3 linked regions of the Caenorhabditis elegans genome follow. The protein of the gene in region 2 purifies or fractionates together with the protein of the main gene of each other region. This does not show direct contact. Each region holds a gene or a part of one and is shown on either strand. Other genes may lie near its edges.

Evidence for each region.
Region 1: the proteins of C45B2.6 (region 2) and K09D9.9 fractionate together in Caenorhabditis elegans (co-fractionation; one large-scale study listed by BioGRID). This does not show direct contact.
Region 3: the proteins of C45B2.6 (region 2) and F01D5.6 fractionate together in Caenorhabditis elegans (co-fractionation; one large-scale study listed by BioGRID). This does not show direct contact.

What each region holds. Positions count from the first base shown.
Region 1 is NC_003283.11:3,991,830-3,996,085, forward strand, and holds K09D9.9 (Usp domain-containing protein), read right to left. Parts: upstream 2,320-4,256; 5' UTR 2,311-2,319; coding exon 2,197-2,310; intron 2,141-2,196; coding exon 1,916-2,140; intron 1,848-1,915; coding exon 1,761-1,847; intron 1,709-1,760; coding exon 1,517-1,708; intron 1,027-1,516; coding exon 826-1,026; 3' UTR 799-825; downstream 1-798. Other genes in the region: srx-62 (G-protein coupled receptors family 1 profile domain-containing protein), read right to left, coding at 2,951-3,047, 3,094-3,293, 3,337-3,509, 3,565-3,785, 3,834-3,994, 4,059-4,109.
Region 2 is NC_003284.9:6,050,756-6,057,738, reverse strand, and holds C45B2.6 (phospholipase A2), read right to left. Parts: upstream 4,682-6,983; 5' UTR 4,640-4,681; coding exon 4,523-4,639; intron 4,288-4,522; coding exon 4,171-4,287; intron 4,128-4,170; coding exon 3,898-4,127; intron 3,843-3,897; coding exon 3,668-3,842; intron 3,333-3,667; coding exon 3,221-3,332; intron 3,177-3,220; coding exon 3,086-3,176; intron 3,038-3,085; coding exon 2,941-3,037; intron 2,897-2,940; coding exon 2,812-2,896; intron 2,769-2,811; coding exon 2,499-2,768; intron 2,450-2,498; coding exon 2,193-2,449; intron 2,117-2,192; coding exon 1,863-2,116; intron 1,815-1,862; coding exon 1,544-1,814; intron 993-1,543; coding exon 837-992; intron 788-836; coding exon 731-787; 3' UTR 566-730; downstream 1-565.
Region 3 is NC_003280.10:14,004,470-14,009,173, forward strand, and holds F01D5.6 (TPM domain-containing protein), read left to right. Parts: upstream 1-2,040; 5' UTR 2,041-2,041; coding exon 2,042-2,317; intron 2,318-2,648; coding exon 2,649-2,750; intron 2,751-2,811; coding exon 2,812-3,062; intron 3,063-3,260; exon of another isoform or gene 3,261-3,366; intron 3,367-3,368; coding exon 3,369-3,510; intron 3,511-3,564; coding exon 3,565-3,652; intron 3,653-3,702; coding exon 3,703-3,802; intron 3,803-3,872; coding exon 3,873-4,002; 3' UTR 4,003-4,119; downstream 4,120-4,704. Other genes in the region: F01D5.7 (Serine aminopeptidase S33 domain-containing protein), read left to right, coding at 4,197-4,214, 4,557-4,704.

The sequences.
Region 1 (4,256 bases), on a different chromosome or scaffold from region 2:
TTCACCTGTATTACATATTTATTGTTCTTAAATACTGTATTTCCTCAAGAAAATTTTTTCGGGGTTTTTGATGTTTGAAACAGGGGTAGGCGACCAACGGTTTTTTCCAGCAAATGGGCAAATCGGTAAATTGCGGAAATTGAAAAATTCCGGCAAATCGGAATTCCGATTTGCCCAAGATTTCGAAAAAACAGCAATTGCCGAAAAAATAGCCGGCAAATTGTGGTTTTGCACTTTTTTCTTGGAAATTTCAGAATTTAAATTTTAAAAATTATACGTATCCTATAAATGATCCTACATCTGTTTTGAAAAGCACACAAATTCTATGAAAATATCTAGAAAAAACGAAAAACAAATTTCAAAAAGGCACAGTTTCCGTATTATAAAAAAATCCCTCTAAAACTGCCGGCAAATTGATTTCCGGCAAACGGCTAATCGGCAATTTTTTTAGAAAACTACACAGCTTTTACTCATAAAACTTTCCCGATTCAATTTTTAATTCATTTGTCCTGATTTCAAGAAAATAACAATATAACTTCCAGGCACGTCATTTCCATCAAGTTCTAGTCATCAACAATATGTCCTGCCAATTTATGGGCATCATTAAAAAGACATATAAGTCTACATATATCACATGCCCTATGTTTACTTTTTCATTTTTTTTCCGTATTTTCTGATCATAAATCGTGGAAATAGCAAACCAGTTTATTTGCCTTACCCCCTTTTTTTCAAATTCCAACTTCTCATCATTTCCGTCATCTGCCCAAATTTTCTGTCTTGGACACGGAAACTAAAGGGTCAGTGTAAAGCGTTTCATTCAAAAATTTAGAAATACGAAAGATACCGAAAGTATCGTTCTCTGCAATACTTTTGATCCATATTTTCGAAAAATAAGTTCAAATGCATATCTGTTCGGTCTTTACTTGCTCCCATGAGCATGAACTTTTTCTCCATTCTCAGACGTTGCATTGACTCGACAAATCCGTTTTCTTCACGAGAGCGGGGTAAGGTATGCGCAAAGTTCACCTGAAAATTGAGAAATTGATCATCCATTGTATAGTTCATCACGTATTTAGAATGGTCATGCAATATGGAATGTCATCAGTCTGACCTTGAACATTCTAATTTTTTAGCGGTTAATTTTCTGTTCAGTCAGTGTTCAGTCAAGTTATATTTATTTTGAAACTGAATTTGTTGATTTTTATATTGATTAAAAACTTCTATCAGCCATAAAACTGGATTTTTAAAATTTAAAAAAAATCGAAAAAAATTTTTTTTAGACTTTACCCGCTTCTTAACCAACTTTCACCAACTTTTACCAACTATTCCAGTTGTTCAGAGCATGAAAACGCTGCCCAATTCAACCAACTATATGTCCAATTTTTGTAAATGGCAGTTAGAAAGTGGCAAGAGTTGTTGGCGGCGATTTACCAAGTTCGGAAAACTTTGATAGTTGGTATATTGATCTATTTTCTTGATTTTTAAATTCTCACCGTACCAAAGTATTCAAAATTACCTGACAAACTGGAGGAAGAAAATCGTAATAGTCTCCCAAAAACTGTTGAAACAAAAGGTGAGAAGATCCTTTGGAAGGTCCCACTATCAAAACATCGATCACCGAGCTGATACGTTTCAGCGAGTTTGCCAAACCTTCAGCTTTCAAAGACGAAAATTTCAAGTGATGAATTGTGCAGGATTTTAGAATTTTCTGGAATATTTCAGTTGATAATCATTTTCATTTGTAATTCTATAAAACTCACATCAAGATCCAGATCTCGGAGGGAAGAGTCACCGTCAAATGAAACGACAACGGCGGTACATGTCTCTGTGAATTTTGCTTTACTCTTCTGAAAATTTATAATATGTATTAATAGAGAATTAATTTTACATAAATTTTATAAATTTTAAAAATTACTTCTATCATATTTTTCACTTTGAACATTGTCATTTCACTTCTCAACGTGAATCTTATCACGCTCATCTGAGCATTCGTCGAGCACCAATTTAAAGATTCTGGCAATTTTCTCCACATTGTTTCAAATTTGTCTTTGTTCGTCTCCTCAAATAGATCATAAACACATTTATCAACTGCACAAAGATATCCATATATCATCGGATCTTTTCCTTCCAACGGGATTTGCTGAAATTTCCGATTTGGAAATTTTTGAATAAGTTCTTAATTTTAGAATAACCTACACATGAATAAACTGTAGTGTTTTGTAAGACACTGAAAATTGAGCTTATCAAATAAAGAAATACTATAGTTACAGACGCTGAGAAAATAAGAAGTCGAAATCGCATTCGATACATTTTTGACAGTAAATTCCAACAGACATAAAGAAGCGGTTGTAGACGAAAAAAACTGTGGCAAAATGGTGTAGATGGTTATCCATGTAGTAGTAAGGGAGATTTGAAGTTTTGATTTGGGATGAAAAGAGGAATAGTATGACATGAAGCTTAGGCTCCACACGTTTTCATTTTTGAAAACGTAAAATTAAAGTTTAATGTGTCCTATACAAGTACCGAAATGAGTCCCGTTAACTTACAACTTGTTATAGCTTACAGCGTTAATTTGTTAGTTATTCCTATAAAAAGCATTCGACATCTCGTGAGTCCAAAATCGACTAAAAATCAAAAACAGAATAACCAGGATAAAGTTGGAGAAATTAAAATAATTTGTGTCTAATCTTTTCATTCAAAAAAAGCTTTAAAAAAATATATGGCAGACATAGGGTTCAGGTCAGATTCTCTATTAGTATTGTACCCCACTACTTGATATTGAAAAGTTATATCTTGATTTATTTTCAGATATTAATAACAAATAGACAACGTACCCTTACAATTAGAAACATAAATGAATGATAATTTACGGAATACAAAAATTGTAACAATTCGTGGGACATCAGAGAAAAGTTTTATTCAAAAAAAAACTGGAACTTTTAGATGGTGTTCAGCTACTGATCCGATTCATCGACGATACTCGTTTTTTCGTTTCTTTGCACAACAGGAACTTCCGAACTTCTGGATTAAATATTACAACCACCAATCTAAAAATCAGCACAAAAAGAATTTAAAATGTTTCTAAAAAAATACCCATCCACTGCGTGCACAGCTACCCAGGCAAATGACGTGCCAAAAAACACGATCCACTTGTTGGAAAAATATTGGGGAATAAAAAAGTAGGTGAGAAGCTCAAGCAAGAACACGGAGCCTTGTGTCACTGTCTGCTTGAGAAATCGCATTTCTCTAGAGGACAATTTGTTTTGCGCCTGTTCAGTTATATTTACGGAGATCTAAATATTTTGCTTTTTTGAAATAAAATAATTGTTGTCATACCTTTCTAGACATTCGTCTGACTTTAATAACTGTTAATATATCAATGAGCATTATTACTGCAACAATACACGCGTTTTTGACAAAATCTCCATACCAGCCAATGTTTGCACACAGCTTAGAATCGGTGAATGTGAGAAAATCCGACTTGTCTTCGTAGTAGATATGGCATAAAACTATAACACAGAAAATTACATAATAAAGCATCAAATTGAAAAAAAAAGTACTCACTTTCATAAAGGTATATGGCCACTGACCCAGTAAATAACCAAATTAAAATTATTAAAATTTTTGAGTTTTTCTCATTGAAAATATTATGATATTGATAAGGAATCCAGACCGCGCAGAATCTGTTGAGTGATATTGCTAGGTGAATCATTACGGAGAGCTCATAGCAAAGAAGAAGCACGAATCCGCAGTGATGGGACATTTCTTTCATTATAGCATTGTCCCTGAAACAAACTTTGTCTATAGTTTTAAGAAGAACTTTTAAAACTTACAAAAGGACCATTGGACAAAAGTACAATAAGAAAGTGGTTGAGTGAAGACCATCTACGAGAGCTTGATTTGCAGAGAGAAATCCAAAAGAGTGATTGAAACATTCCAATCGTTGAATCGCGTAGAAAATTGTCCAATTCAGAATTGAACCGAGAAATGAGATCTGAAAATCTTTGTTTTAGCTTTTTTGGAAATGTGGTAAATTTTGGCAAATAACTTGAACAAACCGGCAACAGGGCATATAATGTTTGATTGGTAATATCCATTTCATCTTCCATTGCGAAAATTTTTGAGCAATTAACAATTGATTGAAAAAATGAGAAGCTGAAGCTCTTGTACTGAAACGGAATTCAAATTTTTTTATGAGCCACAGCTGAATTTTTGAACATAGGTTCTCGTGATAGCCCTTCGGGAAAAAAAAAGAA
Region 2 (6,983 bases):
TCAAAGAATGGGAGGTGGTGGTGGGAATCGTTGCCATACAGTCAAGAAATCAGAGACCAAAAGAATACAACTTCAAATGTTTGAAAAATGAAAACATTATTCGTCCGAAAGTCACAAGTGGAGTGGCTGTGGAGCTATGATACGTGTGATAGTAAGTTGTAAAACGGAAGTTTACACATTCTTTATTGATATTCTGATAAAGTAATTTCGTTTTATCATTCTGATTCAAAAAATCAGACTGATCAAATTAAACCTACTAATCGGAAAAGTGTGGCTGCCGCTGCTGCGCACATGTACTTGGTAGTCTGGGCAACAATAAGGAAAACGGCAAAGTTGGTTTTATTGAACGAAAAAAAGTGCAGACTAGATACGTATGTATATGACAGATGCTATTTTTTCTTTGTATAAGATCAAAGGAGCAAATTCTCTTCACTGATTCTTTGGTTGAGAGAAAAACATTATTATAAAAAAAAGCTGAGTGGCACTGAACGAAAATACTTCTTGATGGATTTTTACCTCTAGTAAAAGACAGAGAAGATAAACAAAAATGGAAATACGACAAAGCTTGAAAAAATATTTACTCGGTTCAAATAGACTTCTATGTATTATGACGGAATGATTTTTCACAACTGAGACTTAGAATGTATACAAAATTATGAACTTATGTGTATTCTCACATATGAGAAAAGCAAAACTAATAGATTATTGAATATCTGCGAGAGGGCTCAAATTATTTGAGAATCGAAGAAAGCATGTACATCTCATTTCGCATTGCGACAGCTTCATACTGCAAAAAGTCAATACATAATGAATCAAATTGTCATCCATTAGGTTACCTTGACAGCGAGCATTGCATCCAGCAACGCACTATCATCCTTCTCGTCAATAGCAACTGGGAATTCAAGGTTTGGAGTGAAACGGAAGAAAGCCATTCCCATGGCTTCAGCCATCCAACGAGCCCGTTCGACGGTTACTCCATCAGCTGCTGTGAGCTGAAAGTGTGGAAAAATGAAAGGTGACAATATAATTAGATGTTTTCCCCGAAAAGGTTGTTAATCCATTCTAGAAAGAAAAAATATTGGAAATAGAAAACAAAATTAACAAAAAATTAAGAAATAACAGTTCCGGTTTATCGAGTGTAAGTCATATACACTCATGTTTTGAACGAAGCTTTAGATTTACGAAGAAAACTTGTCAAATTAGTCCATGTAACTATTTTAGCACCGAAATCACACTTCAAACTAGAATTTGAAACAACCATTTTTGGTTCAAACTAATAAGTCAAAACTCTTTTCAGGATGCGTTTTCAATATGAGAATAAATTGAGATGTTTTCAAGAAACATTCACGTTCGTTGCTAATTATGAAAGGCACCGGTGATTAAAATTAACGTAGTTGGGCTTTTCTGCTATTGAGTTGCCTAATAGTGAGCACACAAACTTTTTGACAACTTTGATTGAATTACATTGACAGACTTATTGATCTGCGCAAAACTTCAAACTTTATTGGCCATTTTTATCTGAAAAGAATTGCTTGCAACTCACCTGCTCAATAAAGACGTCTTTTAAGTGAAGAATCTGGTTGAACGTGTTCACAATTCCACCCATTGTTGTTGGCTTCATCAAGTCAACATTCTCAATTTTCTTTTGCATCGACCCAGTTCCAATTGAAACCATGATCTTTGACACATTACGCTCGTTTCTCTCATATTCCAGGCGTTGACAATCAGTAAGAATGTCAACAGCTGGATTATTAGCGATTAGTCCTCCGTCCATAAACTTTCCATCAACAGGTGGGAAGAATGATGGCGCCGCTCTGAAAAATACGAATCAAAAAGTGCATTTCTGTCCAGCTGTGACTCACGAAGAAGCCCTAACAACTTTTGCAGCTGCCCAGACAGGCTTCATGCCAGCTTGATCAAATGACGGGTCTCTGATGTTATAACTGCGGAACATGTAGAGTAGCGGAGGGCTGATATCGACTCGAGCAACCGGGATACTGATGCGAATACCATTCTTCTCACCGAGTTGCTGGAGCGTATCTCTTCCAAATTCATTTAGAAGAGCATTTTCCAGACCTTCGCCAGAGTATGGTCTGGATCCAATGAAAATATCATCCTGAAAAAATAAGATATTGCAACTAGCACCTGATCTTCCATATCATAATCGCTTTTCTCAATGTTCATTTTCCTACTTTCATTCTGAAATATTGTCTGATGACATGGTCAATATTTCCGTACTTGACCAATCCAAGAGTGATCATTGATCCAGTTGATGTTCCACCGATATGATTGAACCAGCGCAAGAATTTATTTCCAACAACCTTTTCGATCTCCTTCAAAAGCTGAAGAGCCAGAATTCCTTTCATACCACCTCCGTCAATAGACAAAATGACTGAATCTTTCTTGGTCAATGGCGGGAAGTTTTGGCAACGACGATGAGAAGGGTTTTCTGAAAGACGCAGAATGTTATAAAGCGAATAGAAACATATCAAAGTTACCCAGATTGTATTTAATATTTTTCTCTTTTCCTTCTTCAAGTGCTTTGAAGTGTTTTTGCAGAACTTCTGCACATTTACGTCTGGAATTTAGTGCAGCTTTCAAAATTCGGTCGGTGGAATGTCCATCAAACGCCAGAAATGCTTTTACAATATCGACGTCATCTCTTTCAAGAGCATAATCCATTGGAGACATTCCTTTGTTATCAAGCATATTAACATTCGCGCCGTGCGACCAAAGAAGTATGATTGTGCTTAGGTTTCCATTTTTTGCTGAAAAAGTTACGAGTTGCCATTTAAATGTAGTTCAGTTTACCTATATAATGCATTGGTGTGAGTCCGTTCAAATCTTGAGCGTTTATCATTTCAGCTTTGGCAAAACTGAGCATCAACTTTTGGTGCTGGAAATTTGATTAATAAAAACAATATAGTCATTTCAACAAACATCTTTCACGAAATTGTCAAATGTGTGAAACACATTCTTCGAGTTCAAAAGTCTCCCCAAAAAGTCCGAGTCTTGCACGTAGAGAATTCTCAGCACTCTGAAAAACGGTACTAATAAGATAGATACAATCAATGTGGCAACTTACGATTCAAGATCTCTCAGTGAAAATGATGATTTGTTGAGAACATCTGCCGGTGACAATAAGCAATGTGGCAAGTTATTTTTGATTGAGTATTCTGAATATGTTGATAAAGAAAATGTTGTAATTTTTGGTATTCACCTAGAATTTTCTCAAAAGATCGCGGGTAATCGGGAGTTTCGGGCTTGGGATGAGTTTCTGCGGTTATGATCATTTTGTCGCATACTTCTCCGGTAACATGACTGTTGATGTACTGCAAAAATATATTGTTTTCCAAATTTGTTCTTACATTGAAGCATTTTTTTTTTCAAAATATAGAATCGGAAAAACTTGTATACAAATTGAAGCTGCAAAAATCATCCAGCAAAATGATCCGGAGCACAGTTTTCATCTGTACGGATTTTAATTTTTCAGTGAGTCCCACCCATATGCAAGCTTTTTTCGTCAGACTTAACCAATTTCTATAGTTTTCATTTATTGATATAACGCCTATTAATGTCTATTAAGGCATTTGTTTTGTAATTTTCAGCAAAATCCCCCCAAGACACATTTTTCCACCTCGTATCTTTTATTTTAATAAATATTCACCTTTACAATTTCTGGACGATGACGTGCAACTTGCAAAATTGTCTGACCATTATGATTCATTGTCAATGGATCGAAATATTTGTCCCAGACCATTTGAAGTAAACTAAGAGATGCAAATCGAGCGGCAACATGAACGGGAGTATCACCTCTTCTATTTAGTTTTGACATTGAGAAGCTGAAACGGTTCAGTTTTTGTTAACTCAATAAAACTTGATTTGACAGTAACCTACCCATCTCCTTCTTTCTTTTTCTCCTCCTTAACATAATTTGAAAATCCAGAAAAAATCGCAAAATATACTGCTGAGCACTCGGATTGTAATTCCTTTTCTCTCAGCATAACCGGTACCAAATCATTAATGACGTTGATAGGATTGTTCAGATGTGTGATGGATTCGTCAAATTCTTTCCACAAATATTCCAGATCGTCAATGTAAGATGCATTCTTATTGAAATAAACAACCTGGAAAGTTTCTACGTGTATTTTTAATGTTATTTCAGCTTACATAGTTGTTTGGTGTGTAGACAAGTGCATATCCATCACCATATGTAGCTTGTGAAAAGTTCGTAGAAAGCTTTGAGTTGATAGAAAATTTCAAGGTTTTATCCACAGGTCCCGGCCACTGAAAATTGTGCAAATAAATAGGTAAAGGTTTTTAATAATTTAAAAAACCATAATCTGGGAGCACATTTTTGACACATTAAAAAAACATCGTTTTCCTCATCGTTGTGTGGTAGTTTTTTAAACAAAAATTTATAAAAAACTATAGAAAAAATATTTTTTAAATTTATTTTTAGAAAGTGCATGCTCAAGTTTTTTTTTCAATTTTTCATAAACTCAAAATGTTCAAAACTCACCATCGATTGTGCCTGTGGATTGCTGGCTTGAGACGTTGAACCAGCTGCTTTATGTTGAGCATCCGCGTATTCTTTGATTTTATCCTCCACGTTTTGTCGGACTGTGTTCATCGCCATCTGGCCGACGTCACTTTTGGCAAGTTTCATGAAAAAATCCATCTGAAATAACTGTGTTCATAGAAATATGATGTGAAACATGGAACAAACTGGAAATGGAATATAACAACAACAATTAGCATAGGTGTCGTCAAATGTGGTGTCAGGTCCGCATGTACACTTTTGCGGACTTGAGTGCACTATACCACTTCAGATGAGAGGTTTCCGTTTCCTTTTGGTTTTTCTCTAAACAATACAAAAAACGTGTTGAATTTCTAGTAAGAATTCGTTTTTTTTTCTTTTAAACTATTTGTGAATAATTAATGCGTTCTCTGCGGACATTGTTTTCCCGCCCTCACCCTTTGCCCAGACAGTGCATGTGTTCTTATCGATTTGTACAGCTGTTACTTTTTTCGATTTGTTTTTTTTTCTAAATAGAAATGACTTTCAAGTTTTACTGTTGTATTTTGCAGCAAAACTTACAATAAAAAACTATTGACTAATACCCAAAAGTTTCCCACCCAATTCGATGCAATCCATTTAAAAGCCCCCACTTAAATGATAGAAAAGTTACCAGCATCTCGAACAAATCCGGTTTCCGATAGATTCGCTCGATCGTCCATTAACTCAATCCGTGCACTTTTCCCCCTCAGTTCATCCCCATGAACTTTGATCTAAAACTGTTGTTGGTTTGTTTTCAATTCAATTGCTTATTTGGAACCATTTTAAAACTGGGCAAAGAGTCCGTTTTTGCGATCAGAAGATTGTCCTCTTTTTATGGTTTTAGAACTCTCATTAAACGTCAACTTGTGACCTTTCGGAACGTAATTTCGAATGCATGTCTCCTAGTGTTTCCGTTTTTGTTCAATTGCCAAATATCCTTTGTGCCATCCTTTTTCTTTTTACCACTTTGATAGATAACAAATGAAAGACAAAGTTATAAAAGTTGAAAATAATATAATATTTCAAACCTAACAAGATTAATTGGTTAAAAATCTGTTACTTATTTTCGGAATATATCCGTTCCTTTCCTTCATCCACTTTATCAAAGGAATGTGTGTAATCTTTGAAAGTATGCTCCAAAACACTCATTACTCACACACTCTTGTCTCATAAACGTGGTCCCGTTGCTAGATGGTGCCGGCGATGATACAAGAGAGAGAAAGAGACTACAAACGGGAGTGCGTGTGAGACAGCCTAGCTAAATCTACCAATCCTACATTTGACCTTTGCCACGAACCAAGATGGCGTAAGTTGCAGAGGCCTGCACCGTCGATCGTCGAATGTTTACATAACCTATTCATAGAGTTGGTTTTAGATATTCGACTTTTTTATCCCTAGAAACATTTTTGTCGACGCATCATGTAAACTTTGTTTATTAAGTATTACCATATTTTCCCTTTCAGACATGCACCTCCCCCCCCCCCCCCCCCCATTTCTCTACTTTGGCGGCTTTTTTAAGTTTTATTTTTTGAAAAAGTAGAAATTGTTCCCCTCGATAGACTCAAAATGGCCTTAAAACCCAATTTATGAGGAATTTTTCAAAAAAATGTCTAAAAGTTTTACATTAGTCCCCTTTTTTGAAGCTAATTCTGCATGTTTTGGTAAATATTTTTCAGTTCAGTTGATAGAATACTAAATTTGGATAACTATCGATTAGCTATGTACTGAGAATGTACTGAAATATACAGAAAACTTTGGCATAAACAGCCTAAGTACTCAAGAAGTGGTGATAATTGAACGAAAACAATCTACATGCTTCTGCAATAGGTACAAGTTGGTAAGATTCGAACTCACTAATTTACTGTCTATTTCAACTTATCTTCAATTGCGCACTTTTTATGTTACATTCTCCAACTTTGAACACACATTCCGACCTTGTCAATCTGTTTGTCAAAGAGAAAAAAGTCTTTAAAATTCCGGGGGACATTCCTTTATCTCGTTAGTGTCAAAGCCTACCGGCGGCATCAAGTAGAAAACAATAATTGATATCAGATTGATCCGAATTTGAAACGACATCGAACTAGTTTTCGCATTCTCGCTACATTTCAATGAATTGAGCGTGTATGTGTGTATTATATGTGTATGTGTGCTTGATGATATAGGCGATGATAATAACACATACATACGCACAGGAAGGTTTTCCCCCTGTGGCCACACCGGTGGAAAGTGAAACCATCGCAGCCGAGGATTGAGATGACACGGTGATAGGATCTCCTCATCTTGTCCCCCGCAATTCGATTCTTGCCTCGTTGTCCTCAGGTTGATGATATATGCTTTTAATTAGGTTAATCAAAACATCAAAGCCCTTTTAACTCTGCCTCCATAAAAATTTTCTCCGCGTGGGTCTCAACGCTCATTTCAT
Region 3 (4,704 bases), on a different chromosome or scaffold from region 2:
ATGACTTGTCGAGCTAGACAGCCGACACTTTACGGGGCCGAAGTTTACTCATAGTAAGAAGCAGCCGACACTCCACGGGCCCTTAATAGCAGAAGCAGCCGACATCTAACTGTTCACACAACAGTCGGTGAATGTTGAATCAGAGAGTTAGTAGCCGACATCTGGCGGTCGTCGAAGGACGATAATTCGGAGGGATTGTGGCGGACATCTCACGGGTCCCAAAATTTTATATTTGGAGTGGCGGACGTCTGAGTGGAAACCCATTTGCAACTGTAAAATCAATGAAGGATATCTAATTATTTAATTTCCAATTTCTCCTCGAGAAAGCGAGAGTCATAAATAAAAATGCTTATAATATATATCTGGGGGTGGAAGTGATCATTTGTTGAAAATCGAACGTCGGGTGAAGAAGAGATAGGTTCACACACACACACCCAGGAGGCAACAACGAGGCGAACGATAAAGCCACCGGAGACGCAGACGGTCTTCGGATCTGGTTCGGCGTGTTGAGAGGGGGCATCAGCCGGTTCCTCTGAGGAGGGGGAAGAGGGGAGACGAAGAAGAAGATACCCCCGTCCGGTGAAGCTTATTATCCGACAGGCAGACGATTGTTGCTTTGACTTCTTCTTCATTGCCCACTTTTGAACACTTTTCAACAGGTCTCTCAAGATTTTTGGCAACTTTTTTTGCGACTTTATAGGGAGATTATCGGCTGGAGATTATGCAACATTCATAACTTTTAGTAGATCAATGATTATTGTGTAGAATTGGCTTCTTTTTCCTTGCTTAAAAAAAAATTAAAAATCCCCGAACAATTTCCAGCATTTTTTCATTTGAAAACTTCTTTCTAGACCTTACTGTTCCTGAGATACAAGCCTTTTTAGTCCAATGGGCTAGAGAGTGTGGAGAGGAGAGAGACGCAGGGCGCCTCGTCGTCGGCGTCTCCCCTCCCTTCACACTCTCTAGCTTTGCTCTCGCTAAACTGTGTGTAACTTTTTAACTGTAAAAGATACAAAAAAGTGGCAAGAGGCAAAAATGATCAGCATAAAATTTTCTATAAGCTGAAATCAAAATCTTTGGAAAATTCCAAAAAAAAAACTACTACAGCTGTCAGTTTTCAGCCTTAATTTATTACAGTGTACCTACTACAACTACATTTCCCTTGAATTTCCTCCAAAACTTTACAAAACGTTACAAAACCAAGCGAGTTTGTTTCTTAAGCATTTGCATAAGTGGTTTACAGTCCTCAGAAACATAGACACTTTGTTTATTCTCCCCTCCCCCCCCCCCATTCAAAATGAAAGCTTCTAGAATTTTCTCGTAGTTTACTTGGTAATGTATGCATGTGTAAACTGTAACTGTATATAATTGTATATATATAGAGACGTCTGAAACTCACAAAAACCACTTGAATAGCATTCTTGTGTGACTTGTGGCTTTTGGTGAATCTCGGCGAGAGTCACACACTTTTTATTCATTCACTATTTCCGTAAGGCTGACATGCCTAAGTGCCTGCCTACCGCCTATTTTTTGATATTTTCTCCGTATAAATTATTTTTAATTGTATTGAATTTCAAAATCAACAATTTCAAGCATTTTAAGATTTTCAAAACTGTCGAAGTCTAACTTTTCGAAAATTTCCAAAATATTGGAAAAAAATTATTTTTGGCAATAGGTAGTTTGTAGTTTGTAGTTTGTAGCTTGTAGTTTGTAGTCCGTAGTTTTAGCAGGTAGTTTGAAAGTATGCAGCTTTTTTTTGTTTAAAGTTTTGTATTCGTATACTTAAATACTTGTTAGAAATGTTCAATAGAAATTGTTCAAAAATATACATAGTTTGTGGTCATTGTAGTTTGTAGTTTGTAGTTTGAAGTTTTAATTTTTATTTACCTGTTTTCGGTCAAATATTCTTTTAACAATTTCCAGTTTTCTCAGTTTTCTAAAGAAACTGTTATAAAAAATCCTAAGCCGCTCTTCAAAATTTTTGTTTTTTTTTGCCGTTTTTGTGGAATCATACCTCTAAAATTTCAAATTTCATTACAGAATGCATCCCAAACTGGACCCTATCCTAATTCTCTTCCCATTCTTCTTCATCTCCTCCATAGTCGCACAATTCACATCGCAAACCTACCCAGATCCTCGATTAGATCCATTTTCATGTCGGTTGGCACTTCCATCGCAAGTCTGTGATCCGTCGGCTATCGTTTCCGATGAGGAGAGAAGTCGATTGGTGCAGAGGGTTAATCAATTGCATTCGTTGACTTCTGGAATTAAGAATACTTCTCCGTCATGTGCATTGATGCCTGATAGGAATTTGGAGGTGAGTTACTGAGTTGGACAATGTTGAAGTTGGTAGAAATGCGCCAGAAAGTCAACAGTTTCCGAAAATTTTTAATCCGGTTTAAGCCTAGACCTAGGCTTAGGCTTAGGCTTAGGCTTAACCGTAGACTTAGGTTTAGGCTCCGGCTTAGGTTCAGGCTTAGCCTTAGGCCTAGGCTTAGGCTTAGGCTTAGGCCGGGCAGAGCAGAAAAAGATTTAAAAAACGAAAAATGAAACAGTCCAAAGCCTGGCCAAATTTTTTTTTCGAACTTGCGTCAGAAAGATTCCAACCTTTGGCAGAAGCTTGCCAAGCTAAATCACTTATTTTTCAGATAATTGTCGCGATAATCGACAAAATCGGAAGTGTACCAGGTGTTCCAGTTGACATTGAAAAATTCGCCAATAACTTGAAAAGAAGATACCAAAACTTCCAGGTATGTCTTCTGAAACTGCTTTTAATTCTTAAATGTTCCTGTATATAATTTCAAATTTCAGGACGTTGGAATGTGCGACACTACAGTGCTCATCGTGAATTCTAGACAAGATCGTCAAGTGTTCACAGTTGCTGGTAGAGATGCCAAGATCTCGAAGGACACGTTGAAATCTGCATTTGAACGGAATATTGGGCATTTCAAGACAGGAAGATATGCACTTGGGCTGGAAGGAATGATTGAGGTCATTGTGGCAGCTTACTCGAATGCTCATATTGTGCAGGTCCCGACTCCAACTGAGTTTAGACCGACTGAGTGAGTTTTGGGGTTTTTTTGATTAGCGGCCCGCCAGGTGTCGGTTGCTATCTTTAGGAACCAGTCGACACATGAAAAACTGAGAAAGCCGCGGACATCTCACGGGCTTGAAAATAGTCTGAAACTGGCTTTTAGTAGACCTTGTAACAAAGGTGCAGCCGACATTCGGCAGGCTACTAAAAACACAGCTGATAGATTATGGGGTGCTCAGATAATTGCTGCAGCCGACAGCTCACGGGAATTAGTCGAAGCTGCAGCCAACACTTTCCTGGTCCTCTTTTTCAAAACTTACGATCAAACTTCCAGATTCATGCCAAACCCACCTGCGGTCTCTGCTGTTGAATCCCAACCATTCCGGGCCGCTGGTCTCCCGAACAGTGTGCAACAGGCAAAACGCCCATTCCCAGCTTTCAACACGATTCATGAGAGCATTGATGAAGATGATAAGGTAAATTTTGACAGAAGATTTCTATTTTTAGCCTAATTTTTTGAATATATTTAGGTCTGGGTATCAATCCTTCAGCAGGCCATGGCCCGATGTGGACAGAACGATGCAGATCTTCCAAAACATGTCAGAGCAGTTGTTGAAGGTTCGTTCAAGCTTTTTTAATAAAATTTTATATTAAAATTTTATATTTAGAAGCCATGAGTATCTCCTTGAAGCTGATTTCCGACTCACGTTACAACAAGATCGAGGAGGAGACCGAGAAGAACAAGGAAGTACTTGGAAACCGACAAAAGTGAGTTTTTTTCCAGACCCGTTAGGTGTCGGCCGCTGAACAGCCTAGCAAAAATACGAATTATTTTCAGAGCCTGGGACGGAGCCACCAACGACTTCATCCGCCCACTCTTCCAGAAGTACCGCAACTCGATCCTTTCCGGAGCATCACAAACCTGCCCGGTTAGCGCCGCGGGCACCAGAAAACGAAGACATTTCTAAATTTTGTATATTTTCTCTAACAATTTTCCACGACGGGTCACACATATCCTCTTAATTCCATTTTCAATTTTTCGATGAAAAAAAATCAATAAAAAATCCACGTCATTCCACGTTTTTGTTGTTATTTACACTTGCTCACAAAACAAAAACAACACTTTTTTCAATCATCGTTTAATTTCGTTTCCCATCTCGTCATGCTACGTCTCGAAGAGGTAAGTTAATTTTCAGTCGGTATTTGTTGGCTGCTTGAGTCATGCTTAGTCCCACGAGTTGTCGGCTGCTATTTTTGGGAAATTCTCAATTTCATAATACAAATCTTTTTTCACATTAAAATTGTTTTTTTTCTTTGCTAAAAATAATTCGGGTCCATAATGTCCCATAAAGTGTCGGCTGCTCGAGTCGGTTGCAAGTTTTAGGCGGTCTCAAGATGATTTCAGTTTAAATTTTAAACTCGCGAGGTGTCGGCTGCCAAACTAATCGGGGCTTTGCCAAAACTTATAGCATCTTCTTTGGAACCCATCAGATGTCTGGTTTTAAAAATCAATAATTTCCAGGACGAACCTTCCCCCGGAATCTGTGACCAGCTCCATGAGATCGTCCGCTCCATTGGCCTTCTATGCTACGTCGCATGCCCACCCATCCCATCGGAAATCATCCGGAAATTGGCATTCCACCCGCCAGACAAAGGAGCCACCTATCGGA